Diceros bicornis minor: one gene and its partners. The protein of the gene in region 1 interacts with the protein of each later gene in a biochemical or structural test. Links are inferred from orthologs where the notes say so. Each region holds a gene or a part of one and is shown on either strand. Other genes may lie near its edges.

Evidence for each region.
Region 2: the proteins of LRRK2 (region 1) and YWHAB interact on a protein array, tested with the Homo sapiens proteins (2 studies listed by BioGRID and IntAct, with this or other methods). The link is inferred for Diceros bicornis minor from reciprocal best matches to the Homo sapiens genes LRRK2 and YWHAB.
Region 3: of the proteins of LRRK2 (region 1) and RPS15, one has a biochemical effect on the other in vitro, tested with the Homo sapiens proteins (2 studies listed by IntAct). The link is inferred for Diceros bicornis minor from reciprocal best matches to the Homo sapiens genes LRRK2 and RPS15.
Region 4: of the proteins of LRRK2 (region 1) and SYNJ1, one has a biochemical effect on the other in vitro, tested with the Homo sapiens proteins (2 studies listed by BioGRID). The link is inferred for Diceros bicornis minor from reciprocal best matches to the Homo sapiens genes LRRK2 and SYNJ1.

What each region holds. Positions count from the first base shown.
Region 1 is NC_080756.1:28,440,842-28,448,280, reverse strand, and holds the start of LRRK2 (leucine-rich repeat serine/threonine-protein kinase 2), read left to right. Parts: upstream 1-4,423; 5' UTR 4,424-4,840; coding exon 4,841-4,994; intron 4,995-5,260; coding exon 5,261-5,346; intron 5,347-7,439. UniProt on the Homo sapiens protein: Serine/threonine-protein kinase which phosphorylates a broad range of proteins involved in multiple processes such as neuronal plasticity, innate immunity, autophagy, and vesicle trafficking.
Region 2 is NC_080758.1:16,288,542-16,295,939, reverse strand, and holds the start of YWHAB (14-3-3 protein beta/alpha), read left to right. Parts: upstream 1-4,383; 5' UTR 4,384-4,521; intron 4,522-7,398. UniProt on the Homo sapiens protein: Adapter protein implicated in the regulation of a large spectrum of both general and specialized signaling pathways. Binds to a large number of partners, usually by recognition of a phosphoserine or phosphothreonine motif.
Region 3 is NW_026691553.1:897,066-903,604, reverse strand, and holds RPS15 (small ribosomal subunit protein uS19), read right to left. Parts: upstream 2,255-6,539; 5' UTR 2,201-2,254; coding exon 2,198-2,200; intron 1,809-2,197; coding exon 1,723-1,808; intron 995-1,722; coding exon 760-994; intron 658-759; coding exon 544-657; 3' UTR 513-543; downstream 1-512.
Region 4 is NC_080766.1:33,285,394-33,293,118, reverse strand, and holds the start of SYNJ1 (synaptojanin-1), read left to right. Parts: upstream 1-4,725; coding exon 4,726-4,823; intron 4,824-4,894; exon of another isoform or gene 4,895-4,936; intron 4,937-5,816; coding exon 5,817-5,962; intron 5,963-7,725. UniProt on the Homo sapiens protein: Phosphatase that acts on various phosphoinositides, including phosphatidylinositol 4-phosphate, phosphatidylinositol (4,5)-bisphosphate and phosphatidylinositol (3,4,5)-trisphosphate. Has a role in clathrin-mediated endocytosis.

The DNA of each region.
Region 1 (7,439 bases):
CCACACACAATTTTTATACTTTTACTAAATATATATATATCCCTAAAGTATATGCAACATTGCATGCTTGATAGCATTAGAATATTGATATCACAGTAGGATATATATCCTACTACAACTTTTTAAAAGCCAAGTATTATATTTTTTGCTATTCAGTCATGTTGATACATGGAGCTCTAGTTCATTAATTTTCACAGATTTATACAAGTCTATTATATGGATATATGCAATTTAAGTGTTGATGAATATTCAAGTGGTTTTCATTTTCAATATAAGCAAAAAATGTTGCACCGAGCATTTTTATATAAATTTCCCTATGCACATGTGAGAGTTTCTCCAAGGAATGTTTTTGGAGTGTAAGTGCTGGGTCATCAGATACATATATCTTCAGCTCTACTAGATATTGCCATACTGCTCTACAAAGTGACTATTCTGATTTACACTCCCACCAGTTTTGTATAAGTATTCTAGTTGCTCCACATCAAAGCCAATCATTGGTATCATCAAACTTTAAATTTTTGGTTAATCTGAGGGCTGTGAAATGGTATAGCATTATGGCTTTAATTTGTATTTCCCTGGTTACTAGCGGAGTTGAGCATCTTTTGATAGATTTAATGGCATTTCCTCTTCTGTAAATTGCCTTTTATATCTTTTGTTTATATATAAAATTAGACTATTTAGAGGCCAGCCCTGTGGCCAAGTGGTTACAATTCCACGTGCTTCGCTTTGGTGGCCTGGGGTCATGGGTTCGGATCCCGGGCGTGGACGTACTCCACTCATTAGCCATACTGTGGTGGTGACCCACATACCAAATAGAGGAAGACTGGCACAGATGTTAGCTCAGGGCTAATCTTCCTCAAGCGAAAAAAGAGGAAGACTGGCAACGGATGTTAACTCAGGGCCAATCTTCTTCAGAAAAAAAAAAATTAGACTATATTTTCCTCTATAATTTGTGATAGTTCTTTTTACATATTCTTATTCTTCTTTTGTGGGTTATATACGTTGCAAAAATATTCCAGCCTGCGGTCATCTTTTAACTTTGTTGATGGAGTCTCTTGTATGTTGAGTTTTAAATTTTAACTTATCTGAATTTAACAATCTTTTCCTTCATGGACTGTGATATTTATGTTTTGTCTTTCCCTACATGAAGGTCATAAAAAGGTCATTTTTCCCCCCAAAATTTTAGTTTCATTTTATATAAAAATATTCAATTCACATGGAATTTATTTTTTTATATGGTGTGAGGTAAAGGTATGATTTGATGTTTTTCCTACAATCATTGGTCTCAGATTCATTTATTACATAGTCCATTCTCTTCCCACTGATACACAATGCAACATTTCTCATATATATTTTCCATATATGTAAGGGTATGTTTCTGGGTTCTCTGTACTCTTTCACTGGTCATTTTGTATAGCTGTGCCAATAATATGCAGATAAATTTTTATAGCTTCATAGTAAGATTCAACACACTGCTTCATATGTTGGACAAGTTATGCCTGGCATAAGGACATCAGGCTGAAGGGATGGGTGGAGTCTGAAATCCAAATCCTGCTTTGGACACCATAGCACAGGGCTGTGTCTGCCTGGAAGGAGGGGCACATTTTTCTAATTCACAGAAAGACATTGTCAGACAATTTTTCCTCCTCTGGGAAATCGACAAAGGCTAGTACAGGCCCTGAATTAAGATCTAATTGGGCAATTTTCCCACTTCCTCCTTCTTCAAAAGTGTCTCGGTTGTTCTAGGTCCTTCGCTCTTGTTGAAAGCTATAAAAAAATCTTGCTGAGATTTTCATTAGACATGCATTGTTTTTTTATTACTTTGTGGAGAACTGGCATCTTTTTGATATTTAATCTTCTTGTTAATTGATATCATCTATCCATTTATTTATGCCTTGTTAATGCCTTTTAATACAGTTTAATAATTTCTTCACAAAGGTTTTAAAAATATTTTGTTAGATCTGGTCCCAAGTTTTCTCTTTCTTCCTCATTGTTGTTACTGTGTGCAGACACACACACATACAATTACATTTTATAACTGCATGTTACTGATGTTTAGGAACACAATTTTGTATAATTATGAACATACTTTTTTTATACTTGTACATTCACAGTGAATTTCCTGTTCAAAACTTTAGTCCTTTTTTCTCCTGGGGTATCTATGGAGTGTGTAGGTGTTGTTTCCCCCACACCCCACTGTGATCTGTAAGAACTTTTGAAAGATTAAGGCTAATTGTTTTTTTGTCATATATATTGCAATTTTCTTTTACTTTCTTTTACTTTTACTTTGCCATTTACTTTTTACTTTCATGTTTTTTCTTTGCAGGAAATTTAAATTTTTATGGAGTCACATGTACCAATCTTCTGTTGTTTTTTTCTTACTTTTTATGTTTCTTCATACCAACATTAAATAACTATCAATCTATATTTTCTTTTTAAGTTATTTTCATTTAACTTTTTAATCCATCTGGAATTTGTTTTGGTGTTTGCTGTAATTAGCAATGTCCATTTTATTTTTTTCTTCCCAGGAAGTTAGCCTAATGTTCCAGCACTATTTTATTCTCCACTGAACACTACCTCTATCATGAATTTGTGCCCGTAGCCTTCCTTTTCTGTCTTGTTAACTATCTGAAGAGTTAATAAGTCTTGGGATTTTAATCAATCAATTAAACATTTTTGAAAGCTAAGAGGATACTTTGCCCTACTACTGCAGTAGTTTGAGAGAATGCTCCCAACAGAGAATTCATGTTTCCACACCGCCTACCCCCAGTCTGGCTAATATAGAGTAGACAGTGAATAGGCAGTGGATGGGTGAAAGAACTGAGGAAAAGAGGAGATACCTTTTTACTTAGATTTAGTTTTCTTTGGACGGGAGCTAGGTTTTGATTTTTTGCAAGATAATAATCCAGTAGACAGAGAAGGAGAAACTGATGCAGAGGAATGGGAAGGAAGGCATGAAAGGGAACATTCCTAGGAATGTTTGAGATATCGATTGGTTAGTCAGAAGTTGAAACAAGTTCAGAAACCAGTTAGGAAGGATATTCCGCAGCTATGATAAAGATGACAGGGTTGAGAATTTTTTCTTTTGTTTTGTTTTCATTATGGAAAATTTTATGCAGAGGAACTAGTACCATAGACCACATGAACCCATCACCCATCTTCAACAATTATCAATTCAAAAGTTAGCATTGTTTTGTCTCTACCTCCACCCATTTCACCCCTTTCCCCAACACTGAATTACTTTGAAGCAAATCCTACCCATTCTATCATTTCAACTGTAAATATTTTAGCATGTGTCTGTAAAAGATAAAAAGTCTTTATGACAACAAAATATATTCACAATATCTAGGTCGAATTAGAATTGCTATCTTACTGACTTAATGTATTAAGGAAGCCTAGCTCATTTTGATTAAAGTGGTAGAGTGTAAAGAACCTTCAACTGGAGTTAAGAGATTCACCGGGGTTTGAGTTCTGGCTCTCAACCTTCCATCTGTGTGACTCCAACAATGCTCTTCGCTTAACTCCAAATCTCAATTTCCTCATTAGTAAAAGAAGGATATTGGTAGTTGTCTTATCCATTTCAGAATTGTCATCAGAATGAAATAATAGAAGTGAAAACAAACGATCTAAAATTGTGAACTACTAATTTCCTGTCCAGTCATCTCCTTTGTAAATGATCCCCAGGACAGATCATCTTAGGCAATAGATCGTCTTTGTCCAGCCTTGTCTACAGTGTTGCTTGCTTTGGTTTCTCTTCCTAAAAAACATTACTTTGGTACTTATTTTTTAACTTGAGGGTTATAGACGCTGCGACTCATAAGTAATTCTGAATACCAAGAGAACAATGCTTAGGCTTGTATCTTTCACCTTTTCATTTCATTTACGTTGTGTTTCTCTTAGTTTTAATAGCGCCAAGAACGAACTGATTGTTTTTTGGTGCGCCCCCATTATCAGGATCCTACCGAGTGCAAACTCAGATTTTCAAGTTAATTTGGTCAACAGAGCTTCAGATAACAGGGAACAATTTTTTATTTCCTCCTCTACAAAGAGCCACAGCAATCATGGAAAAACATTTAGCTGAGCACATTTTGATTGCTAATATCTCTCTCCATCCTTGAGGGGGAAATTACTCATCTCCCTATAGGGGGAACTCGAAAGAGAATGTTTTCCTAAAAGGGGCCAAGTGGGCGGCGTCCTCTCTTCCCAACGCCCTGATTTCCATTCTTAGACCTGGAGATAGGCGGCGGCTTTAATTTTTCTTCTTCCTAGGTCCCAGACCTTCCGCGCGGCTGAAGGTGCCCAGGCCGGCGGGTGGCGGCGGGCGGCGGGCCGGGCTGCAGACTGCGCGCCTCCTCCCGCCGCTGCAGGGCTCGGGGCCTGGGGCCGCGGCGGAGCCCGCGGAGTCAGTTTCTTCCTGCGCGACTCCCGGCCGCGCCGCCGCGGCGAGTGGGATCCGGTCCCGGGAGGCGGCGCCCGCCTGGGGTCCCGTCTCGGCCCGCGCAGGGACCCGCTCTCGCCGCGTGCGGACCGCCCACCGCGGTTCTGCACGGCGCCGTACCTCGGCCGAGCCTCTCGCAGGCCACTGAGCTCGTTTTGGGGGCCTGAGCGGGGGAGGAGGAAGCCGAGGAGGAGGGCCCGGGGACGGGGAGGGCAGCGCAGGGCGCGGAGCCGCCGCCTTCCTCATAAACAGGCGGGCGTGGGTGCCGAGGGGGCTGGCGGGCAGCGCTGGCCGCGGGCGGTGAGCTGTGCTCGGCCCGGAGCAGCGGCCGGCGCCCCTGCCCCTTCCCGGAGCGGCCGGCCTTGGTGCGGGAGGGGCGGCAGGTTTGGAGCAGGGTCCATCATGGCCAGTGGCAGCTGTCAGGGGTGCGTGGAGGAGGACGAGGAAGCTCTGAAGAAGTTGATAGTCAGGCTGAACAATGTCCAAGAGGGAAAACAGATAGAGACGCTGGTCCAAATTCTGGAGGATATGCTGGTGTTGACGTACGCCGACCACGGTAATCATTTCCAAGGAAACTGTTCCTTTATCCCCCTCCCCCCCGCCTCTGTTGCAAACTTTCTCCCCCGCACTCTGGAGCTGCACAAAGCCTGGACTTTTGAGAAGCCACCAACTCTATACTTCTTAGGGTAGAAGGGAGCTGAGAATTCTAGAAAGGTCTTGCGCTCACTTCTTTTGCTTTCTCCCCCCCCCCCTTTTCCGACTTAAAAGGAGGGCCGTGAGTCGTGACTTTGCTTCTTTTCCCTCACCCACTTTCTTTTCCAGCCTCCAAGATATTTCAAGGCAAAAATGTCCACGTGCCTCTGTTGATCGTCTTGGACTCGTATATGAGAGTCGCTAGCGTGCAGCAGGTAAAGGAGCTGTTTTCATTTCGCCCATTCCCCGATCACTTTGGAAATAGATGTTTTTCTGTCAGTGTTATATGCCCAGAGTTCTGGATTGTTTCTGAGATTTGGCTTGACAAACCGCTGACTGATTTTAAGACGGAAGCGTTGTCAAATCATTATCAAATGTTAACGGTGTGAAAGGGCCCACTATGTGCTCCCTAATTGTCTTAAAGAAGTAACTTTATACAATTAACTGACAAAATATGGATGGTGGTGAGAGGAATAATAATGGGTTGAGTTTTCCGTTATTGGCTATGAGTTCATCAGTGTTTAGATCAAATTATCTAAGACTCTTCCCAATATACAGCATGCCCTAGAGATGACAGCATTGTGAATAGTTTGGGAAAGGAGAACAGTTAACAATAATAAAATTAATAAAAATAAAATTAAGTAACTGGCAAACTCGCATAGGTTTCAGGGTTTTCTTTTTTTTTTTTTTTAATTTGAAGACAGATTTCTAGCCTTCTTTAGTTGTAGTATACCTTGTATTATCTAAAGAAAGTGATGTTTTATGATTCTTCTATAAGTTTAAATTTATACTTTTCAACTGTTTTCATATAAAATGAATGTAAAAGTGAAACATTTAGAATCTGCCTCATAGGAAACCCAGAAATTTGCTAAATTCTTAGATATGTTAAAAAGGGAGCCCTAAGATGATAATTAAGGATGATTTACAGTCAAAACAAGATTAGTGCCTATCGTGTTCACTTCCTTTGTAGATTTTGAGATTTAAAGAACTGAAATCAGTTCTGTCATTTGCATGTTAAGTCCTGAAGGGAAAGAGAGTTGAACTTTAAACTCTGTCAAAGTGCAGTCAGAAAGTCAATGTTTCTTAATATATGCTTGAGTGTCTAGACAGATGTAAAAATTATCTGGATCTCTAAATCTGTATCTATCTATCTTTGTCTTTATGCTTATCTCTGTAGCCAGCAATGTCTAGTTTGGGTGAACCATATACCTAGCTTCTTTTCTGGGAGTATATTTATATCTGGGATAAATGGTTACTTTTATTTTTCTTCAACTGAAATATTTCCCATTTGACTATTGATTTTTAGGGTGTTAACATGCAAAACCATGAGAAGATGAAGGCTTGATAAAGACAGTGTTCTTTTTAGCACCCAATGTCTGAATTTTGCCCGTGGAATATGAGTCACTTTTTCACACTGGCCCGTTGTGCTTGCTTCTCTCCACCCAAATCATCCCTTCTTACTTGCCTGTGCTTTTGTGTTCAAAAGTGCCTGCTCTGGCAGCCCCCATTCCCTGGACTCTGTGCTTGGTAGAATCACCCCTGCTTGATACCACTCAAAACATTTGGACCCTGGGTGGCTTTGATCTGCAGAGTCCAGAGGAGGCAGAGCTAGACTTGAGAATGCAGAGGAGCCTGGAACATAACCACTACCTAATTCTTCTTCGTTTTAGAAACTGCCCAGGCCTGGGCATGTTTGTCTGGAGTGGTTATGAATGTCACTCAGTATCTTTTCCCAGTGACTACCAGAGACAAAGTATGCAAGAAAATGAGGAATTGTCTTCTGATTTGGTAATTGAATGGAATAGAATAGTTTCAGCACCATATGTGTATTAGTCTGCAAAGAGTATTATGTAGCTTACATCATTTGATTCTCACTGGACTCTCACTGCCCTCTCAGATATCTCACTGGCTATTTTTTCCTTAGTAGGTAGCTCATTTAGGATCACAGAGCTAGGGACAGAGCCAGGACTCAAGTCTTCTCACGTCTTCCAAATCTCTTTCCATCATACAATTCCCTAGCTGCTGAATTCACAAGCTTTTCATTGCAAGTAAAAAGTGCAATGATTTGGTACAAATATTGTGGCCATGGTAGGCATAATGGCACTATCAATTTTAATTATCGGTGGTCTTATTAAAGGGATGAAGAAAGAGGTCTTTCTACTGATATTATAATACTCCATTTAAAAGAAAGTGGGTTTTTATCCTTCAAATTTCTTCATATTACTGATGTAATTAGTATAGATATTCTTTAATGCTTTATGTGTTGAATTAGCTGGAAGTGCTCAATTAAAAGCTTTTAATGATGAAT
Region 2 (7,398 bases), on another chromosome or scaffold:
TAGCAACTAAATGCAATGTATGGACCTTGTTTGGATCCTGATTCAAATAAACCAATGTGAAAAGTCATTTTTGAGACAATCAGAGAAAACCAAACCTGGGCTGTGTATTATAAGATAGTAAGGAATTATTGTTAATTTCCTTAAGTATGATCATGGAATTGCAGTTTTGTTTTTTAAGTTCTTACTGTTAGAGCTACATACTAAGGTCTTTATGAATGCAATGACATAATGTCTGGGATTTGCTGTAAAATAGTGCTGTTAAAAAAAGTGTGAGGGATAGATAGAATAGTAAAATAAAGCGGGTGATGGGTGCATGGAATTTACTGTACTATTCTCTCTACTTTTGTATTTGTTTAAAAATTGTCATAATAAAAAGCGAAAGAAAGAGAGGAAGAAAGTAGAGAGGGAGGAAGAAAAGAAAGAAAGAAGAAGGAAGCAAGGAAGGAAGGAAGGGAGGAAAGGAAAGGAGGAAGGAAGGAAAGGAGGAAGGAAAGAGGGAGGGAGGAACAGGGAAGAGAGGTTGGAGGAGGGGAGTAAGGAAGGAAAGAGACAAAGGAAACCCACTGGGTGTCTCAAGGCCATTAATCGTGAAATTTCAGAATATTTGAAACAAAAAGAAACTTTTGGAGATACAAATCAGGTTCTTACATTACACATCTGTGTAAGAATGGCTGAAATCAAAAATAATAAAAATAAAAACAAAACTTGACAATACCAAATGCAGGCATGAATATGGAGCATCAGGAACTCTCTTTCATTGCTGGTGGAAACGCAAAATGGAACAGCCACTTTGGAAGACTATTTGGCAATTTCTTACAAAGCTAAACACAGTCTCAATATACAATCTAGTAATCATGCTCCTAGGTATTTACCCAAATGAGTTGAAAATTTATGTCCATACAAAAACCTGCACATGGATGTTTATAGCAGCTTTATTCACAATTGTCAAAAGCTGAATCAAGATGTTCCTCAGGAGGTGTATCAGATTTCTGGGGCTGCTGTAACAAAGTACCACAACTGGAGATGGCTTAAAACAACCAAATTTATTCTCTCACAGTTCTGGAGGCTAGCAGTCTGGAATCGAGGTGTCAGCAGGGCCGTGCTCCCTCTGAGACTCCACGTAGAATTTTTCTTGCCTCTTCCTAGTTTCTGGTGGTGGCTATGGACCTCTGGCATTCCTTGGCTTGTAGCTGTATCACTCCAATCCCCGACTCTGCCATCACGTGGCGTTCTCCCTGTGTGTCTCCCCCTGGCTTTTTCCTCTTGTCACATGGACATCAGTCATATTAGATTAAGGCCCATCCTAATGACCTCATCTTAACTTGATTACATCTGCAAAGACTCTTTTCCAAATACGGTTACATTCACAGGTACCAGGTGGTTAGGACTTCAGCATATCTTTTTGGAGGACACGAGTCAATCCATAACAGTAGGTAATGGACAAACTGTGGTACATTCATACAATGGAATATTATTCAGTGATAAAAAGAAATGAGCTATCAAGCCATAAAAAGACATGGAGGAACCTTAAATCATATTGCTTAGTGAAAGAATCCCATCAGTAAAGGCTTCAGACTGTATGATTCCAACTATATGACATCTGGAAATGGCAAAACTAAAGAGTATAAAAGAGAAGTGATTGCTGAGGGTTGGGGTGAGGGGAGGAGGTGAGGGCTGAACAGCTGAAGCACAGGGGTTTTTAGGACACTGAAACTGTTCTATACGATACTGTAATGGTAGATACCTGACGTTACGCATTTGTCCAAATCCATAGAACTGTACACCAGAAAGAATGAACCCTAATGTAAACTATGGACTTTAGTTAATAATAAGCTATCAATATTGGTTCATCAGTTGTAACTCATGTACTACACTAATGTAAGATGTTAACAGGTGAAACTGTGGGTGGGGAGAGATTGGGTATGTGGGAACTCTCTGTACTATCTGGTTAATTTTTTTGTAAATCTAAAGCTGCTCTAAAAAAATAAAGTCTATTAATTTAAAAAAATTCACTATGGAATCTAAGGCTAAGTATCCCTCTTTCAGGAAGTCTTTCCTGCTCTCTCACCACACTCCCAAGATGGGCCACGTGCCCTTCTCCCAGGCACATATATTCCTATGGGCACATATATTCCTATGGTTGCCACATTCTTTTGTTTTGTTTTTTTTGGTGAGGAAGATTGGCCCTGAGCTAACATCTGTTGCCAATCTTCCTTTTTTGCTTGAAGAAGATTGCGCTGAGCTAACATCTGTGCCAATCTTCCTCTATTTTGCATGTGGGACACCGTCACAGCACGGCTTGATGAGCGGTGTGTACATCTGTGCCCAGGATCCAAACCCACGAACCCTGGGCCACCTGGGCCGCCAAAGCAGAGCGCACGAACTTAACCACTACACCACCGGGCTGGCCCTGCCACATTGTATTTTAATATCTCTTTGTGTCTCTGTCAGTTAATAGCTGTGGTTTGCCAACCCCTGGCCTAGAACGCAGAGATGGTGAAAGCAGCTAATCCATTAGCAGGCACTCAGGGATGCCTGGCAGAGGGCACTTCTGTTCTCTCAATGCACTGATGAGGTCATTTGTGGTGTAATTATCACGAGCCCTCTGACCCACCAGGGTATTTTCTGGATAGGAGCATAAGGCACAGTCATATCACATTAAGCCTTCTGTCAACCTGAGCAGTCTCTGGATTATTGATCTTTGGTTTGCGAAAGATAGATCCCCATGGGGAAGTTTTTGCACTGGGAAACTTTTCCAGGGTTCAAATCCTGTGGTCTTCATGTCAAATCTACGTCGTTTATATTACACAACACTCTCTTTCAATCCTGCTCAAGTTAAAAGGTGGTGTAGTATGGAGGTCACTGGCACAAACGCCCATATGACAGACAACATGAATGAGGAAAGCAGACTCAAGTCAGGAGGAGACCCTGGCGCTTTGAAAAGTCCGGGCCTGATCTAGAGTGGGCAGCCACTCTGGCGTCAGCCAATTATTGCCACACAGAAATATGGACACAGTGTTGCCAGATAAGGCAGAGATGCAGATTTTTGCTCACACAGAAATCTCTCAGTCTTTAAAAAATGTTGGCAACTGACACAGACAGTAGAGAATACTGGACATGGCATATTGGGAGAATAAGGAATTATCCGACTGAATTGGGGTTTTATGAAGGAGGAGAAATAGCAAGGGAAGGTGAAGAGTGAGGGCAGCTTCTGGAGCCTTGATTGTCACACTCAAGGAGCTTATCAATTGTCTTCTAGGTCACCAGACGATTTATGCAAGAAAGGGACACCATTAGAATGGCATTTTCAAAAGATCACTTTGGCAGTTGATGGGGGCAGGGCTGAGGGTAGGGTGATGAGTTAGAAGTCTATCATTAAGCTAAGTAAGGGTAAAGCAGAGACGACAAGGGCCTATTTACTTTGTTCTTTCTGCTACCAGACTGTAAACGCCAAGACAGCAGGGTCCCGTCTGTCTCCTTCTTGCTCTGTCTCCAGCACTAAGGACAACGCCTGCTCAATAAACATTTGTTGAAAGAATGAATGAAAAAGAGCGACTGGAGGTGAGAGGCGTTTTGAAGCACTGGGTTTAAGAGTCCACGGCCTGGGGAGGAGCAGAATGTCGATCACGGTGAGAGCAGTCATGGGAGTGGGGGGCGGTAGAGGGGTTTCCTTCTCTGAAACTTCCCCTAGGGGCCTTGGGAAGGGAGGTATCTAAACGAGAGCACAGACACAGGCTTCAAAAAAACATCTTCGCGGGTTCCATTCCCGGCACTTCACGTAACCTCTTCGGCCCACAAAAGGAGGAGGGATTGAAAGGAGGATTAAGCGAAAATTTAGGGATGAGCAATTTCTGTCCTTCCCTGGGTCCAGTATTCCCACAGCACACAGCACGAGGGGACTGACTTCAACCTCCGAGCCGGTGACGATTACTCTCGTAATCTCGGGTGCGGTGGGAACCGATGACCTCGGAGGCTCCGGGCCTGGCCCTGGCGAGCTCCGAGCCGAGCCAGAGAGCGCACCACCCGGCCTCGGGCCCGCCCAGCGCCCAGCCTCGCCCAGCCCTCCTTGTTCCCCACACGCTCCATTTCTCCACACCCCCAGCTCCGCCCCCGCTCCTCCCACCTCCGCTTTCCGCTCCCCGCCCCCACTTCCGTCCCCCTCCGCCCGCCGCCTCCCCGCCGGGACCCGCCCCCCGCCGCATCCCGGCGCGGCGCTCTTCTTCCTCCTCCCTCCGCCAGCGCCCCTCTCGGGCGGACGGGGCAACCCCGTGCCCTGCTCGCCCAATGAGGAGGCGGCGCAGGGGCGGGGCGGGGCCGGGGCCGGAGCGGAAGTGGTGACCGGAGCGGAAGTGGAGCTGCCGCCACCGCCGCCGCCGATTCCGGAGCCGGGGGAGCTGCCGCCGCCGCCCCTGCAGCCGCCGCCGCCGCCGCCGCCGCCTGAGGAGTGGGCCTGGGAAGGAAGCGGTCGCCGCGCTCGGAGCTCCTCTCGTCCGCGTCTTCGCCCCCTGCAGGCCTCCCACGGTGAGTGCGGCGCGGGGACCCCCGGGGGCCCAAGCCCCGAACTCCCCCACGGCCGCCGCGGCGGCGGCGAGTGCGACCCCGCGGCAGGGCCCCGGAGTGGCGGCGCGCGGCCTCCTCCGCCCCGCGCGGCCGCCTGCCGCGGGCCCGGCCTCGCCGCGGCCCCTCCCTGTTTCCGGGGCCGGGCCCTTCGCGCTTGGAGAGGCCCGGGCCGCCCTCGCCGCCTGCGCCCTGCCGGGCGGGCGGGTGCGGCTCGCCACCGGGCCGGAAGGGACATCGGGCCCCGGACCCGCTCTTACGACCCCGCTTCGATCCCCGCGCGACCCCTCCCTGCGCCTTGAACGGCGAGAGCCCACCCTTTCAGCCCTGTGACCGCTCCTCCTGGTTTTCCGGTTTCCAAAAATTAAAATCTAAGCGAATGGGGGCGAGTTCTCGAGCCCCAGCGCCTGTGCTTGACCCCCCGTAGGTGGGTAAGGGGTTTAACCTTGGGAAAACCCCTCCCACTTTGCAGTAAAGCCATTTCATCATCGTTCGCTGATTTTGGAGCCTGGCAGGACCCGAGATTCCCTGAGAAGCACAGGGTTGAGGTTTGAATCAAGAATATGCATTTCTTGGAACCGGTTACTGAGTCAGGCCGGATCCCCAGGAAAAAAATGTCAGAGACTGAGAATCGGAGTATTTTCCCACGGTATTTACCGTCATTTAAAGCCAGAGCCTTTTGTGTTCTCGCCCAAAATTCCCCCATGCTGTGTGTTAGTACATTTTTAGAACTGAAATTTGCCTAATGGCTTCCCTGGTGATGGGGAAGGGGTGGGAGTGATTTGGGCCCTTTTTCTTCAGAAGATGAGTACACTTTTGTCTATTGCAAATGGAGAACTCGCACGTAACGGGGTTTTCGAAGGTGGCAGTATTGGTAAGACAGTTTGCCAGCCTTTCTGTAAAAATGCGTGTCTCTTGTCCTCGCCTTCACTGCTTTTCTCTTTGGTAAGGCTAGATAGCATCAGGCTCTGATTTTACTTGCCCTGTGTGGGAGACAGAATTTGGCAGGATGATGTTATGAATATGTAAAATCAGGCGGCCACAGGAGCCAAAACAGAAAGATGAAGCACTTGTAAGAATAGGAAAATTGTCTGCATTTCTCACTCCATGTCAATTGTTCATATGAAACCACACACATACAATTTATAGAACTGGACACGTGGCGACTCAGCTTTTTGCATTTTCCTGTTAGAAATTTATATGTATAAATATTAATTGGTTCTTAGTGATTTTCTTCTTGACCGCTCCCAGTGCACCCCATTTTGTATTTAGAACTGAATCTCAGTTGTCTGAGCCCTCACATTTCTTGGATCTGTGTCTTTAAGAGCACACAGCATGGTGAGGGTAAAACTTGTCACTGTCACTGGACCCAAGTTAGGAATTTTCGTGTGGTTTTCAAAATGGAAGCCTGATAATCCAGTAGCAACTGCTGAGTTCTTTTCTTAGCCTCTCCTGTCAAAGAGATAAGAAACCATTCACCCACATTACAGATGAAGTCTTTATGAGAAATGAGGTGATTTGGCCTCGACCACACACCTGGTTTTCAGATTGAATATCCTCATTCATAAGCAGCAAATATTTATGGCCTGTCAGCCCCTGGAGTATGGCTCCTACCCTGTAATCTTCTGTACGTTTCCCATCATGCAGTGCTTGTGTTACGTTGAAGCCATTTTAGAATTGGAGCTCTTTAGGTCAGGGAGGCAGCCTCCATAAAACCAGGCTGAGGAAATTCCCAGGATGCTAGGCAGAGTCTCCAGAGATTTGGGCCACTGCACAAAGTGCATTTTGCCCATGTGGCTGTGGATATAGAAGCAGAAAGAGCACTGGGCCTGGAGTCAGATAGATTTGGTTCAGGTTGAAAGACCTGCAGCATTTGTAGCTCTGTGATCTTCAGCATGCTGCTTAATCTCTGGTTCTTGGTTTCTCTCTCCACAGTTGTCATGAGGCCTTTTCACAAACTGTAGATTGTTAAATATAAGCTTTTGGTTTTGTTTTTTGATCAGAGTTCACTATTAATGGCTTTCTTTTATTCTCTAGTTGCATTCTGATGAGACCCACCCTTACTTTGTATACATGTTGCTTTCAAAAAATGAAATAATAGAATTTTATTTTGTGTGTAGTATCTCCAGTCTGTCTGAGCCCAGTATCTCATCTGTACAATGCAAATGGTAATAGTCTGATGTGTTATTGTGACAAAGTCAATAATTAAAATAAGAATTTGGGATGTAGTAGGTGTTTAATAAATATTATTTGACCATATTCACGAATATACACATATATAGATTAGACCTGTGTATATACGCTGTATAGCATAGACACAGAGAAAGTCCATCCATTTGTGGTTTATTCACCAACTGATGAGGTAGCATCAAGCAATTAGTCTATAATAATAGCTACCACTTACATTGCCTACTGTGTGCTAAGCTTTGTTCTAAGCACTTTGCACATATTAACTAAACCTGCAAAACACCCAATGATAGGTAATACTGTTAGCCCCATTTTACAGATGCGGAAATTGAGGCACAGAGAAGTTAATTATCCTAGGGGCATACACAGACGCAGCACAAGGTAAGTGCTGGAGCCAGGAGTGAAACGTACGCAGTCTGGCACTGATGATTTCTGCTGGTGGTGGAACAACACATGTATATCTTTCATGTGAACACCGTTTAGTCCTTCATTTTTCTTTGCATGTGTCTTATTAAAGTAAATATGTTTGAATAGGAATTTTAGCGATTTTTGAAAATAGATATAATGTAATTTATTGTGGGGGAGTATATTCATTGTGGCCTGTAGAGATGATACTGCTGGTTTGCATCAGGAAGCAAGCTTGTGAAAAACCCA
Region 3 (6,539 bases), on another chromosome or scaffold:
CCCACCCCAAGGCTGGGGACCTGAGTCACTGCGGAAGGCTCCCGGAAGCTCATCAGGGGCACAGCGTCCAGGGAGAGGGACAGACAAGCAGCACGGTGCAGGTGAAGAGCATCCTGAGGGACCCTGGGCAGGTGTGCGAGGTCGGAGGGAGCTGGGAGGAGGCTCAGATCACGCACAAGTTCCCACTGTTCGAGCTTCGACTGGACACCACCCACCCCTGACTGGGGGCCGTGGGAGGAGGGGCCCCAGCAGGGGATGGGGGCTGAGGGGCGACGCGGCACTCACAGCAGGAGAGGCTGCCGGGCACCCAGGACACACCAGGTGCTGCACCTGGGGGCCTGGGACCAAATGCAGCAGCTGTTCGTGTTAAGACGGCAAAGAGAGCGGAACAACAGATGGGCTGGGGCACAAGACCCTGGACATCCCCGGACGCGTCACGGGGCCCGAGTCACTCAGCTCCCAACCCCCCACCCGGACGCCGGACGCCGGGAAGGACGGGGCAGACTCGGGACTCCGGAGTCTGTGCCTTTATTGGCGCGCAGCCTACTTGAGGGGGATGAAGCGGGAGGAGTGGGTGGCCCCGATCCCGGGCCGGCCGTGCTTGACGGGCTTGTAGGTGATGGAGAACTCGCCCAGGTAGTGGCCGATCATCTCCGGCTGCGGAGGCGAAGAGCAGCCCGCGTCAGGCGTTAGGCGACCGCGGCGCACGGGCCCCACCCGCCCCCCGGGCCCGGCGCAGCCCCGCTCGCCCCGACGCACCTTGATCTCCACCTGGTTGAAGGTCTTGCCGTTGTAGACGCCCACCATGCTGCCCACCATCTCGGGCAGGATGATCATGTCGCGCAGGTGCGTCTTCACCACCTCGGGCTTCTCCATCGGCGGCGCCTCCTTCTTGGCTTTGCGCAGGCGCTTGAGCAGCGAGTGCTGCTTCCTCCGCAGTCCGCGGTTCAGCCGCCGCCGCTGCCGGGCGCTGTACAGCTGCATCAGCTGCTCGCTGCGGGGGGGCACGGCGGCCTGAGCCCTGGCCGGACACCCCCGCGCCCGGTGACGCCCCCCAACCCGCCCTCACGGCCGGGCCAGGGCCCGTGCCAGATACTCGGGACGAGCCCCGCAAAGGCAAGAACCCCCACATCGGTGTGTGCAGAAGAGGAAACCGAGGCAGGGGAAAGGTGGCCGAGCTGCTGGACCCCGGCGCACAGGCCTCAAGAACCCAGGAGCAGAGACCCCCAGAAGCCCCCAGCCCACGAGGAGCCTGTTCTGTGAGACCCCCCGCGCCCAGACCCAGGCACACCTGCCGGGGACAGGTGCTCCCTGCTTGTCGATAGCCTCCCTCCCCATCTGGGGGCCGGACCCCGCACCCGCTCTGCACCCGAGGGCAGGTTTTTAAAAAGCAAAAGTCAGACCACCCCAGCCCTGCCCAGAAGGTTCCTGCCCAAGCTCAGGCCAGGGGGTTGGCCGATTCCCGCGTACGTGCCAAACCCCAGGATTTTACAGGGTTTCCCGCGAGCGGGAGAGCGCTCTTAGGTTTCCTAGCGCCTGGAAACACGTCCAAAGACACGTGCTGAGCGTTACACTGAAACCTCAGCGTGTCCTAATAAAGTTTTATTGGCACGCCGGCCCGCCCATCGTTGACACTCGGTCTAAGCCGCGCGCACAGCTCGGGCTGCAGCCCCCACCCCCGGGGCCCTCCCGCCGGCCCCCCGCCCGGCCCGCGCCCCTTACTAGGACATGTCCAGCAGCTGGTCGAGATCCACACCGCGGTAGGTGAACTTGCGGAAGGTCCGCTTCTTCTTCTGCTCCACTTCCGCCTGCGCGGGCCCGGAGCGGTCAGCGGGAGCCGAGACCTACCTCCCAGCCCCACGGCCGCGGCGCGGTCACCGGGGCGCCCACCCAAACGCGCGCGGCGCCGCCGGGTACGGGAGCCCGCGGGGACACACCACCTCCACCCCGTCCCTGGGCGGCACGCGCGGTTCCGGGCTACGGGAGCTCGGCTGGGACATGCCGGTCCGCACAGGCCTTCCCCGCTCCGGGTCGTCCCGACATCCACCACACCCGCCCCGCGCCCCATATCTGGCGGCCCCGGAGGCCTGGAGGAGGCTGCCGCAGCCGTGCGGCCTGACCCCGGCCTCTACTGCGCGGCTGCACCGCGGATGGCGAAGGATGCATCCGGCACAAACACCCAACCCGCAGCACTCACCATCTTGTCGGTTCTTCAGAGAGGACCACCCCCAGTGCGCCTGCGCAGTTATCGCGAGGGCGCCCACGTGCCCCGCCCATCAGCCGTGTGCGTGCACGCGCTTCCGCTTTCCGGCGGAGGACGGGCGCCCTCTTCTGTCCGGAGGGCAAAGCGCAGGCTGCGAAGACTAAAGGAGCCACTGTCTCTTGGGGCCTCGGACCTCAGGGCTGGGGCCGGCCGCCTAGTCTTTGGGAGACCCTTCCTCAACTGGGGGACATAGCACCTCGCTTCCCCTTTCGGAGCCTCATATTCGTGCTCTATAATCCGCATAATGGAACCCACCTAGCAAGATTTACGAAGCACCTACTGTTGGCAGTAGGCGCGGTCAGGGGGTTCGGGTCCCCATATTGCTCTCGAGAGGGAGCTCTCGCGTCCAGTAGGGGAGGCAGACACATAAGAGACAAGGTCATACAGATATCACAGCCGAGAGGGAAGCCAGGAGGGGTGGGACACTGGCTTCACACAGATGGTCAGAACAGGCATCCCTGATAAGGACCAGCCAGCCCTTAACGGACAAAACTATATAAAAGAACAACTGTTAACAATGGCTAGGGATCAGGGGCTACAGCTATATGGGAGTGCTGTTTCTGTATTCACTGGGACTAAGTGTCCATCTGAAGGGGATTCTGGTACATTAAGAGGTATGTGCTAGCCTATGGCCCAGCAATCCCCCTTCCGGGTGTACAGCCCAAAGAACTGAGAGCAGGGACTCGAACAGATTTCTACACCCGTGTTCATTACAGCATGATGCACAACAGCCAAAAGGTGGGAACACCCAAGTGTCCATCGATGGATAAAGAAAATAGTATGTACACACTGGAATATTACTCAGCCATGAAAAGGAGGGAGATTCTGACACCTGCTCCAACGTGGATGGACCTGGAGGACATGACACTCAGTGACATGAGCCTGACGTGGAAGGACGGATACTGTGTGATCCCCTCACAGGAGGCCCCTAGAGGAGTCACAGCCACAGAGACAGAAAGTGGATGGTGGGCCAGGGGCTGGGGGAGGGGACGGGGAGTCAGTGTTTCATGGGGACAGAGTCTCAGTTTGGGAGGATGAGAAAGTTCTGGAGACGGATGGTGGGGGTGGTTGCACGACAGTGTGAGTGTGCTTAATACACTGAATTATACGTTTAAAAATGGTTAAAAATAAATCTGATGTATATTTTGCCACAATAAAAAACCAAACAGATGTATATGGTAAACTATGGAGCACTAAGAAAATCACTCAAAACATATAGTGAAAACAATTATTAAAGGAATTAAAATGCTACACTAGGAAATACTCATTTAATGAAAAAGAAAGCATTAACAGAGTCACACGAGCACAAAAAAGACATGTGCCACATAGAAAACAAAGCGAAATGGCAGAGGTAAAGCCGGGCCCGGCGGTCACAACATTAAATGCCAATGGTTTGAGGAGGCCACCAGCCCTGGAAGCGGGAGCAGGCGTGCAAAGGCCCTGAGGTCAGAATGAGCTGGGTGCTGCTGAACCAGGGAAAAGGCCAGTGCCCCCCTCTGACTCCACTGTGCCTGTTTCCCTGCGGGGCAGGCAGCAACTGAGCCTCCAGCCCCATCCCAGCCTTCAGGGCAGCTAACTGGGTGGGGTTTGGCTCAGCCCAGCAGCTTTGTGGGGAGCTGGGGCTGGCCTGGAGGGAACGGGAAGCCTGGAAGGATGCTGAGCCCTCCTTGGCCAGTTACACAATCCCGGGGGAGAGCCAATTAAACTGCACCCAAAGGAGGGGCCATCCCTCCCCGTCACCCACATGTTTGGGGCTGTTGGAGGTGTCCTTCGGGGTGTGAGGGTGTGGCGCTGGCTTGCCCACGTTCTTGGGAGCAAACGGTCAGACTGGCAGGGAGCTCGTAGCGGCTGGAAATGCCTTCAAGGTTTGCACAGCGCCCAAGGCCGGGAGAGGGCCACTCCCACTCCTCCATACGCCGCGGCGCAGCTCGGGAGGGAGCTCGAAAGGCTCGTCGACAGGGGAACGAGGGACCTCCTCCGGGTGCGAGGGGTGTGTGGCGGGGTGCCGTCTCCAAGGGGCCTTTGGGGTATGGTGGGGAGGGCGCCCCTTTTCTTGACTATCTCTGAGCTGAGCTGACCTGCCCGACATGGGGCGTGAGCTGGGCTGCGTTTCGGGGGGGGGGTGGCTGTTTTGTCCCTCCCTTGATCCCAAGCTGGGACACTGGAGGCAGCCATGTTTTGGATGAATTGGCTCTTTGTGTTATGTTTTAAAACCTCGACTGTGGTCCTTACAACAGAATGACGGCCCCCAAAGACGTCCCCGTCCTGGTCCCGGGACCTGTGGACGTGTCACCTCACGTGGCAGAGGAACTTTGCGGATGGATTAACTTGAGGCCCCTGAGATGGGGGATGACCCTGGATCCCCGGGGGCCCAGGGTCATCACAGGGTCCTCATCAGAGGGAGGAGGAGGGTCAGAGGCTGTGCGCTGGCTGCGGGCTGTGCAGACGGAGGAAGGGGCCCTGAGCCCAGGACGCGGCCTCTAGAAGCTGGAAAAGACAGGAGACGGTTCTCCCTGGAGCCTCCGGGAGGACAGCCCTGCCCACACCTGGACTTTAGCCTGGGGAGGCTTGTGTCGGACTCCTGACCTCCAGAGCCGTGAGACGACGTGTGTGTTATTTTAAGCCATCAAGTTTTGGTGATTTGTCACAGCAGCCACAGGAGACCCCTCCACACTAGAACAAGAGGGGATTCACCCCTTTTGTCACAGCTGTTTGCCAGGGCAGCCTCCTCGGGACACAGGAGCCCCTCCCCACCTCGAGGAGAGGCCAAGGAAGTCCTGCGTGTAAGTCGGCTGACTCCCCTCCCTTCTCAGGGCTGCAAACAGGGGCTCGCTGAAGGTCAAAGCCCCTTGCCTCTGGGGTTGGGGGGCAGTCAAGAAAATGGACAGAAACCACGTGGTACAACACCAAAATACTGGGGCTGGAAGGGCCCTGCAGACGGGCTTCACGGGCCAGGCCCACGCGTGACCAGCACTCATCCCAACCCACTGCCCCACCCCTAACTCATCTCCAGGAGCCACACTCGCCTGCACTCGAGCCCGGCCCTGCCTCTCAGGCTGTGAACATCAGCTGGGCCCACCCAGTGCCCCCCAGGTGTCCAGCACAGCCACCTTCAGCTCCAGGAGTGCCGGCTCTGGACTGGCTGTCCTGACGCCTGCATCACCCAGGTCAACAGCCCAGTTCCTGGAAATGTGAGTGGCCGGCCCAAGGCCACAGTCCAGGCATCACTCGCACAGGGATGGGGGAGGCCTGGCCAGTCCCCCCTGATCTGTCTAGATGCCTTTTTCTCAGTACCCAGCGGATGGCCACTGAACTCCAGAACACTGGATCTGCAGCTCACCCCACCCCCAGACCATCCTAAAACCCACACCTGCCAGAACCCCAAGACCCAGAGACCCGCCAAGACAGAGGCCCGGGCTCCCCACTCCAGCTCACCCATGAAGCAGGCCCCGAGCGGCTGCTGAGCCCACCGAGGAGCCCACGGCCAACAGAGGACCCCCGGAGAGGGCCCTGCCCAGGCAGGAGGGAAGACACGGACACCACGTGGGTTTCTAATCCAAACGCACTTCTCTTTATTCAAACCAGGGTCAAACTGGCCAGCGGGGATGCCCTGAAGCCACGCGCGCAGGAGATGGGCTGACAAGGCCTCCTCCGTGTCCTCGATGCCCGGGTGGGACGCGGGGCGGACAGCACACCTGCAGACACTGCCAGGCAAGTCAGTCGACAAAAGCAAGGAATAAACAAAAAACAAAACACACTCAGTAGATTCTTCTTGAAGCTCCCAGAGTCTCTGGACCCACGAGTCCCAACCCTCAAAGCCAGGAGTGGGGACTAAAAACAGCCCCCACTTCCACCAGTGCCGACGGAAACCCTGTTTTAAATTAAAAAATAAGCCAGTATACATCGTAGAAAATTTCTCTTAAAAATCTCACAATTTGTAAATGTATATTTTTTTCTTTAACATAAAAGTTTACAATATACGGTAAAACAAAAGGCTCAGGAAAATAATTTCAAAAAAAAGAAAAAGAAACCTGAAGTTTTGAATTAAAGCTGAAGACATTTTTTTTTAAACCCTGTTGTTGAACCAGTGACTTTTTTTTATTGTGCTGATGGGTTAGAGAAAGAAATATATTTAAAAACTTCAGTCCAGACACCCACAGCGCCTCCGAAAGCCTCTCGCCCCACCCCCCACCCCCCAGGTTGAGTCGCCATTTTTCCTCCAAGTGTGTGATTGTCACGAGTTCACGAGTTCCGAATCCTGGCTCTCAGCGGTCCC
Region 4 (7,725 bases), on another chromosome or scaffold:
GGTCTGTTGTTTCAAAGTAAATGAAAATGAGAACAATTAAACACTAGAACTTCTACATGTAGTGAGAACAGTAAAGCACATCTGAATGTTTGGGAGGCTTTATACTTCGATAAGGCTGTCATTGTCCAAAATGTTTTGGAGACTGCCCTCCAGCACAGAAATTATTCTATGGAATAATTGTCTATGGATTATTAGATTTACAGCTGCTGAGAATGGCTTCAGACTGCCCAGCAAAGGCAGACAGGCTAAAAATTGTTATATGGGATTGGTATTGATGTGCAATGTTGACTGGCCCCTGGTCTGCTTCTGGACCTCCAGGCCCCAGTGATTTGTACTGGCTTTCCTCCAGCCTGTCAGCCCTAACTCCAGCAGAGGCTGAGAGGCTAGAATCATCCTGTACAACAAGAATGCCTAGCACAGCATTTTTCAGAATACATACTGTGGTCCACTTAAAAAGATCTTTAGGAAAATGTACCTTATAGCCCATGCTTGATGATTCAAAACACATGGTAAACGATAAACGGTTTGACAAATCCTGTAGAAACCATTTTAAGCTACTTTACAAGAACACTTTGACCATGAAAGCTTATCTTTTACATTTAACCTTAGATGCTGAAATTCCAGAGATGCTTGCTGCTTAGGGACCAAGAGCCAGATTGAAGAGTGAACATCCTGCAGCTCTGATCTCAGTGAGGCTGGGCCCTGTTATGGCTCTGGTCCTTTGATTTCCATGGAATCCTTGTGTATCATTAAACCCCCTTCACTTGAACTCTCTTGAGTTGCTCTCTTGTTCCAAATGAAAACTCTACTTTTGTCACATACAAGTTCTCTTTTGGGACTAGTGGCAATTTCCTTACCTATTGCATGTCTGAGTGATTTTTCAGTCTGAATTTTTTTGTTTGATTTGATTCTCAAAGTGATTCTGCTCTTAAGCTTACTACATTTTCTACTCACCGATTTTCCATTTTTCCGGTTTAAAATCTTATCCTTCACTGATTACTACGAACGTATTTAAAGCAAATAGTTAATGCTATTTGTAACCCAGAGTTGTGTTGTCTCTCAAAACCACTGTTGTCTCTTTAACAAGGAGCCATCCCTTGCAGATCCTGTTATGAAAGTCAGCTTTAGCCTGTGTGACCCAAAAAATAAGCTGGTAAAGATAACTGGGTCAAACTGTTAATATTCCCCAGATTTGCCAAACATTTTCCAGCATTTTTGACAAGGAAATCCAGGCTATAAGGAAAAGATAAAGATGGTAAACATCTGTCAGAATTCATAGTCTTGTAACATATGGTATAGTTTTTTTTATGTGATTGTTTCGGATAACCATTAATCATTTCTAAATTAATAAATCCTAGCTGTAGTTTGCTGGAGACACACTATTAGATTGGACCATCCATAGTCACTGAGTATTTTTGACCTATAGAAATGGCAATTGTATGTTTCAACCTGATAGAATTGCTCACAGGAGAAATAATTTGGTCAAAAATCAACATCTAAAAATCAGGGTGTCGGGCCAGCCCTGTGGCTTGGCGGTTAAGTGCACGCGCTCCGCTGCTGGTGGTCCTGGTTCGGATCCCGGGCGCTCACCGACGCACCGCTTCTCTGGCCATGCTGAGGCCGCATCCCACATACAGCAACTAGAAGGATGTGCAGCTATGACATACAACTATCTACTGGGGCTTTGGGGGAAAAATAAATAAATAAATAAAAATTAAAAAATAAATAAATAAATAAATAAATAAATAAATAAAAATGAGGGTGTTTGCGTTCAATTCGTTGAAGCTGTTGAAGCTGATTTCTAAACATCTGCCTAGGGCTGTTGCTGATCTCAGTTTCTCTCCTGATGGAAAGTCATATACACCTTGTATTAGTTGTCTGTGGCTGCTGTAACAAATTACCACAAACTGGGTAGTTTAAAATAACAGAAATTCATTCTCTCACAGTTCTGGAGGCCAGAAATTCAAAATCAAGGTGTTGGCAGGGTCGTGCTCTCTCCCAAAGCTCTAGGGAAGAATCCTTCCTGCCCTCTTCCAGCTTCCGGTAGCTGCTGACACTCCTTGGCTATTGGCCACATTGCTCCAGTCTGTACCTCTGTCTTCTCATTGTGTGTGTGTGCGTGTGTGTGTGTGTCTAATCTTCCTCTGCTGCCTCCTTATAAGGACACTTGTGGTTGCATTTAGGGCCTACCCAGATAATCCAAAATAATCTCAAAATCTTTAACTCAATCACATCTGGAAAGACTTGTCTTCCCTGTAAATTAACATTCACATGTTCCAGGGATTAGGATGTGGATATCTTGGGGGTGGTATTTTTCAGCCTTCTACAGACCTCATTGCTCATTTTCAAGGGTCAAGAAAGTCTCAGCCCATCTCTGTAGGCCGTTAGGACCTCATTAAGAAGTCTGTGTATACCACTTAACCTGTATTTTAAATCAGCCAACCCAAAGACACTTCAAATTTGGTAAAAAGTTGTGCAGCTATTTTCAACTGCTCTAAGAAACAAAGAAGTATAAAAAGGAAAGAGGGACAAGAAAAGGAAGGAATAACAGTTTTAAAAAGACAGTAGTCAAATGGCCCTTATGTTTATTTTATGTGGTTATTTTATGACTAAAATGATCTATTTTGAAAGGATTTGAAAAAGCTGTGGCCTTCTCCTGACAACTCTAGGAATAAGAGTTCTGTTTACCCCCTAGTTTAACGTAAAGAAAGAAGCAGCAATTCAAACCCAGAACCAAGAAACTTTGACCTCAATCTCCTCAGTCCAAAATCAAAAGAAATCATGAATAGGCAGAACACTTGCTTCTAAAAGAGCCCAGCACCCATACTTCCCTCTGAGAAAGGAGGGGTTCCTAGCGTAGTCTCACACAGAAACAGATGTGGTGGAAGGGATCTTAGGTTTGGGGTGGGCAAGTTTGGTTTCAAAGTCCCAACTCGACTTGAAACTAATTTTTTGTGTGTGTGAGTAAGATCAGCCCTGAGCTAAGATCCATGCCAATCCTCCTCTTTTTGCTGAGGAAGACTAGCCCTGGGCTAACATCCGTGCCCATCTTCCTCCACTTTATATGGGATGCCAGCACACAAGGCCTGACAAGCGGTGCATCGGTGCGTGCCCGGAATCCGAACCCTGGTCGCCAGCAGCGGAGGAGGTGCACTTAACTGCTACGCCACAGGGCCGGCCCGAAACTGAGTAATTTTTAACCAGTTAACTTTTCTGGGTCTCAGTTGTCATAAAACGCAACTCCCAAGCAATGTTCTTAATAACATCAACATCTCTCCTGGAACCATACTATCCATGTCTTCCTAGTGTATACCTCTGTCTGGCATTCATTCAGGGCTATAGAGGCATTATATCCGAAGAAGCCAATAAGAAAAATTCCATTCTCATCCACTCCCATTTAGTTTTCTCTGTCAAATACAATCTCCAATTGAAATGGATTCTTCTGGAAAGAAAAATAAGCATCCATTTGATTATCTTAATATAAGTTTAATTCTGAGGCTGCTGTCAGTAACCACCACAAAAAGCAAAACAGTTTTTCTAGGGAGATAATACTAAACGAGAAAGAAATCCTCTCCAGCTCTCAGAACTAAATCCAAGTGTCTTTGCACATCTCCTTCTACAAAACAAGTGGCTTCTTTTCTAATGAATGATAGCTACTTTAGTATCCTGAAACCAGGGTGGGTCCAGCTTCTCTAAAACGGAAGAAGAAATGTTAAATTAAGTCACATGACAGGGCCTGGAGGGGGAAATGATTTTGTGCAGTATACCAAATTTAAATTCTGCTTTTGCTGTTAAAATAAAAGCAAGAAGGGGAAGAGGTAAGAAAAAAAATTGCAAAGGCAAGTGAAAACAGTTTCTCCGAGTACTGGGTTCTTCGTTTTTCAATTCCTTTTGACCTTGTTAGTTTTGACTTCATTCCCATAGTTAGGTTTATTAAGTGGAAACAGAATGAGAAGTCCGTGGGACACACTGATATTAGCCAGGAAGCATGATTCGTTGAAAATGCGGATAAGATGAAAGGGCGAGGCGCCTTGAGTTATGAAATCCCACGGCTGGCATAAGCTATTCCCCAGTCAGTGACACCCTAGCTGCCCCGGTGTCAGTACCGCCATGTTTTGACTTAGTCTTGAGACTCTGGTTTGTGCTCTTCCACTCTCCACCGTACACAGAGCTGAGCACTCTTTTCTACAGGACTCCTGAAAGCTCCAGAACACTCCAGAAGAAACGGCAGCGGACAGAGTTTTTCCAAAGCAGACACTGGTTTTCCTTCCTGCTGCCTCTCGGCGTGTTCGCGGTCAGACACCATGGACAGCTCTCCACGCGCCGCCGGGTCGGCCCCGCGTGCCGACTGTCCCGAGCCCTCCCCCTCGCCCATCAGGCCGGTGGGGGCAGCAGGGGGTGGTCCAGACACCCATCTTGGGCACGTATCAATACCCAGCCCCCAGAGTCCCTCCCTGGCGCCCACGGGGAGTGTTGGTAAGCTCTGAAGAGCCCACGCGAAGGGGCCAGGGAGGCAGAACCTCCCTTTCCCGGCATCCCCAGCGGTGGGACCTGCAGCCGCGGCCTGGGGGACGCGCCGCCCGAGGCGAAGGTCACCGCGCGCGGAGGCGCCAAACAGCCCCCCGCCGCAGGGTCCCAGGCGGCCAGAGTGGGCGGGGCCTCCCTCCCGAAGCCCCGCCCCTTCCCCCCACGGACGGCGGCCCTTCCGCCCCCGGCCGCGGCGCAATGCGGAAGAGATGGGCCTGCTGGGCCGGAAGTGACGCTTCCGGCGGCTGTGGCGGTGGCGGCTGCGGGAGAAGGAGGAGGAGGAGCCGGCGGAAGAGGTGAGCCAGCCGGCGGGGGGCGGGGAGCGGCCGCGGCCAGACCCACCGGCAGCCGGGCGCGCGGGCGGGCGCTTCCTGAGGCGGTCTCCGCCGCCGCAGCCCAGGCGGGAGCGGTGAGGGGCGACCGAGGGCGGGCGGGGCTGCGAGGGGACCACCGGCCATGCGAGGCGCCGCAGCGGGCGGGGGGCTGTGGTGACAGCGGCTGTCAGCGTTCCTGCGGGAAAGGAACCCAGTCGGTTTGGGCGCCAGGTCCTCTCTTCTGGTGCATAATGGAGGGACTGAGCTGCTCGGCGCTTCCTTCCCCCCGGGAAGGAGCTGCTTTCCCGGGACCCCCGAGGAGCCCCGGTCGGGTCCATGTCCCGAGTCGTGACTCTTCCCGGGTGACCATTCATATATACGGGCTCCCGCCTGCGGTCCTCCCCGCCGGCGGTGGCCCGAGGCTGGGCGGGGGGCGGCGGTAACCGGTGCCGATCCCCGGCCCTTCGCCACCCGGGAGACCTGGCGTGTGGCTAAGCCCTTTCCTCCTCCCGCCCCCTAAGGAGCTTTGAACCAGGCTCGTTAACCTTCCCACCCGCCGACCCCTCCTTTCCCCGCAAAGGAACGGCTTGAAGTTTCCGAATCGGTTCCCTTTCAGCGTAGTGACAGATCCCGAAGCAGGAAGCTGATAAATAACTCCGAATGAAATACGCTCAAAATTGTTCTCTTTGGTAAACATAAAGTAAACGGGAAACTCATCTTTACCGAACCGTTCATGGACTTAGAGTGATAGAGCCTTGATCTGCCGGGAGAATCGGTCGCTTTTCCTCTTGCTTTTTGATCAAATTCAGTGACGACTTATATTTTGGAATAAACCGTTCTCTCCCGGAGCTCCGTTTTTTCCACCCCGCCCCCCCCCATCAAAACCTGGCAGGGAGGGACTTCTGGATGCTTTGCAGTTCTTGCTGCAGAAGGAAACATCAGCTTCATTTGCTCTGCTTTGCTTGGTTTTCACAGGGCTGCCTCTGAAGAAAGGAGAATGGCGTTCAGCAAAGGATTTCGGATCTATCACAAATTGGACCCCCAACCTTTCAGTCTCATAGTGGAAACTAGGCATAAGGAAGAATGTCTCCTGTTCGAGTCTGGGGCTGTAGCTGTGCTCTGTAAGTCATGTTATAGCCCAACTGATCATGGTCCCTGTTTTGATTCAAAATAATTCAGATTCAACCATTTTTTAGAGAAGACCCTGACAACCTCCTCACTGTATTTTATCTAGGAGATTATGCCTTTATTTTCTTTTAATCAAACCTTATTTTCTTTTAAACTTTCATTTTCTTTTTTTCCTCTGAGGCAGGTTTTTCCCAGGGGTTGGGGGAGATGCGGATTTTGGTTACAGGTTTTTGCTTTCTTGGGTTCTTCTGCTGCTTCTAAAAGTAAATCTTTCCAAAGAAATATGGTTGCAGTTTATATCACATCACATAAACCCGTCAAGTGGCTTAATTGATATCTTTACTGTAATGAACAGAATTTCTTATAGGTCAGTTATAGAAATGGACTATAAGAATATTTATTTATCTAATATTGTTGGAGTATCTTATGGTGACGGCCTTATATTTTCATTAAGGGAATTGTAAGCAACTTCTAAAATTACATGTGAGATATGTGATTGATTTCATATTATTTAAAAAGTTATTTTGATAGTCTATTTTAAAGAAAAGGACTACTACACTACAAGAAAAATACTAGATTAGTAAGGTTTGGGTTATTTTGTGGGCAGACGAATAAAATTAAAAATGAAAAGATTAATTTGAATATTACATTTCTTTCTTGATATGAGATTTTGGCAGATAACTCCAGTTTGGAATTATTTGAAATATGATTGTGTTTTTAGAGGCTTTCTAGTGATAACTAGTTCTTTGTCATGTTTTTGCTATGTTCAGATCAGTTGAGTTACTGGTCATATTTTTATAAATTAAAAATAGTGTTTGAAAATCATACTTACAAATATAAGTCCCTAAATATTTTATACTATTAGACTTTCTCCAGATTCAATAAGTGAAAGACCATAATTTGACGTTACCTGATTTCCTAATTTGTCTAAATTCTAAATGTTTCTTAAATTGTGATTGCTGGTAATAACGGAAAGTCAAATTTTCAGCTACAAAGTATGTATTACCTATAGTTATTAGGATTATTGCTATACTTTACTCCAAGGTCAGGAAACCTAAGGATAATCATATTTCCAAACCTCTAGCAGCCCCCTTTTTTGCCAAATAATGGTTAAAGAAAACAACTTCCTAAAACCATCCATTTTGGTATTAACATTCATTTTGAGGAAAAAGAATATTAAAAAGTTGTCTTAACTATTTATTAATTCGATTTATTTTTGTTAAATTTAGACTATGTAAGTAATTCTTTCAGGAGAAAAAAAGTTTGAATATTGCCTTTCTCTGTAAAGCTAGGGTAAATGGATACGTAATCTCTTAGGTGTGTTATTAGCTTTCCTACTATAAACTTTACAGTAACATTTAAAATACTAATATTTAAGAGTTAACCGACCTTATTATAAGTTATTTGACTTGTCAAATTAATTTGACATTCAGTTTGGAGTGACACCAAGGTGTGTATTGTGCTATAGAGTGTTCATTTTTAAAACTTTCACGTTTTTGGGGCCGGCCCCTTGGCTTAGCGGTTAAGTGTGCACGCTCCGCTACTGGAGGGCTGGGTTCGGACCCCGGGCGCCCACCGAGGCACCACTTCTCTGGCTATGCTGAGGCCACGTCCCACATACAGCAACTAGAAGGATGTGCAGCTATGACCTACAACTATCTACTGGGGCTTTGGGGGGAAAAAAAAATAATAATAAGTTCAAACTCCTCAACCTGTCAATCAAGGCCTTCAATAATTTGGCCCCACCCTGTTTGTC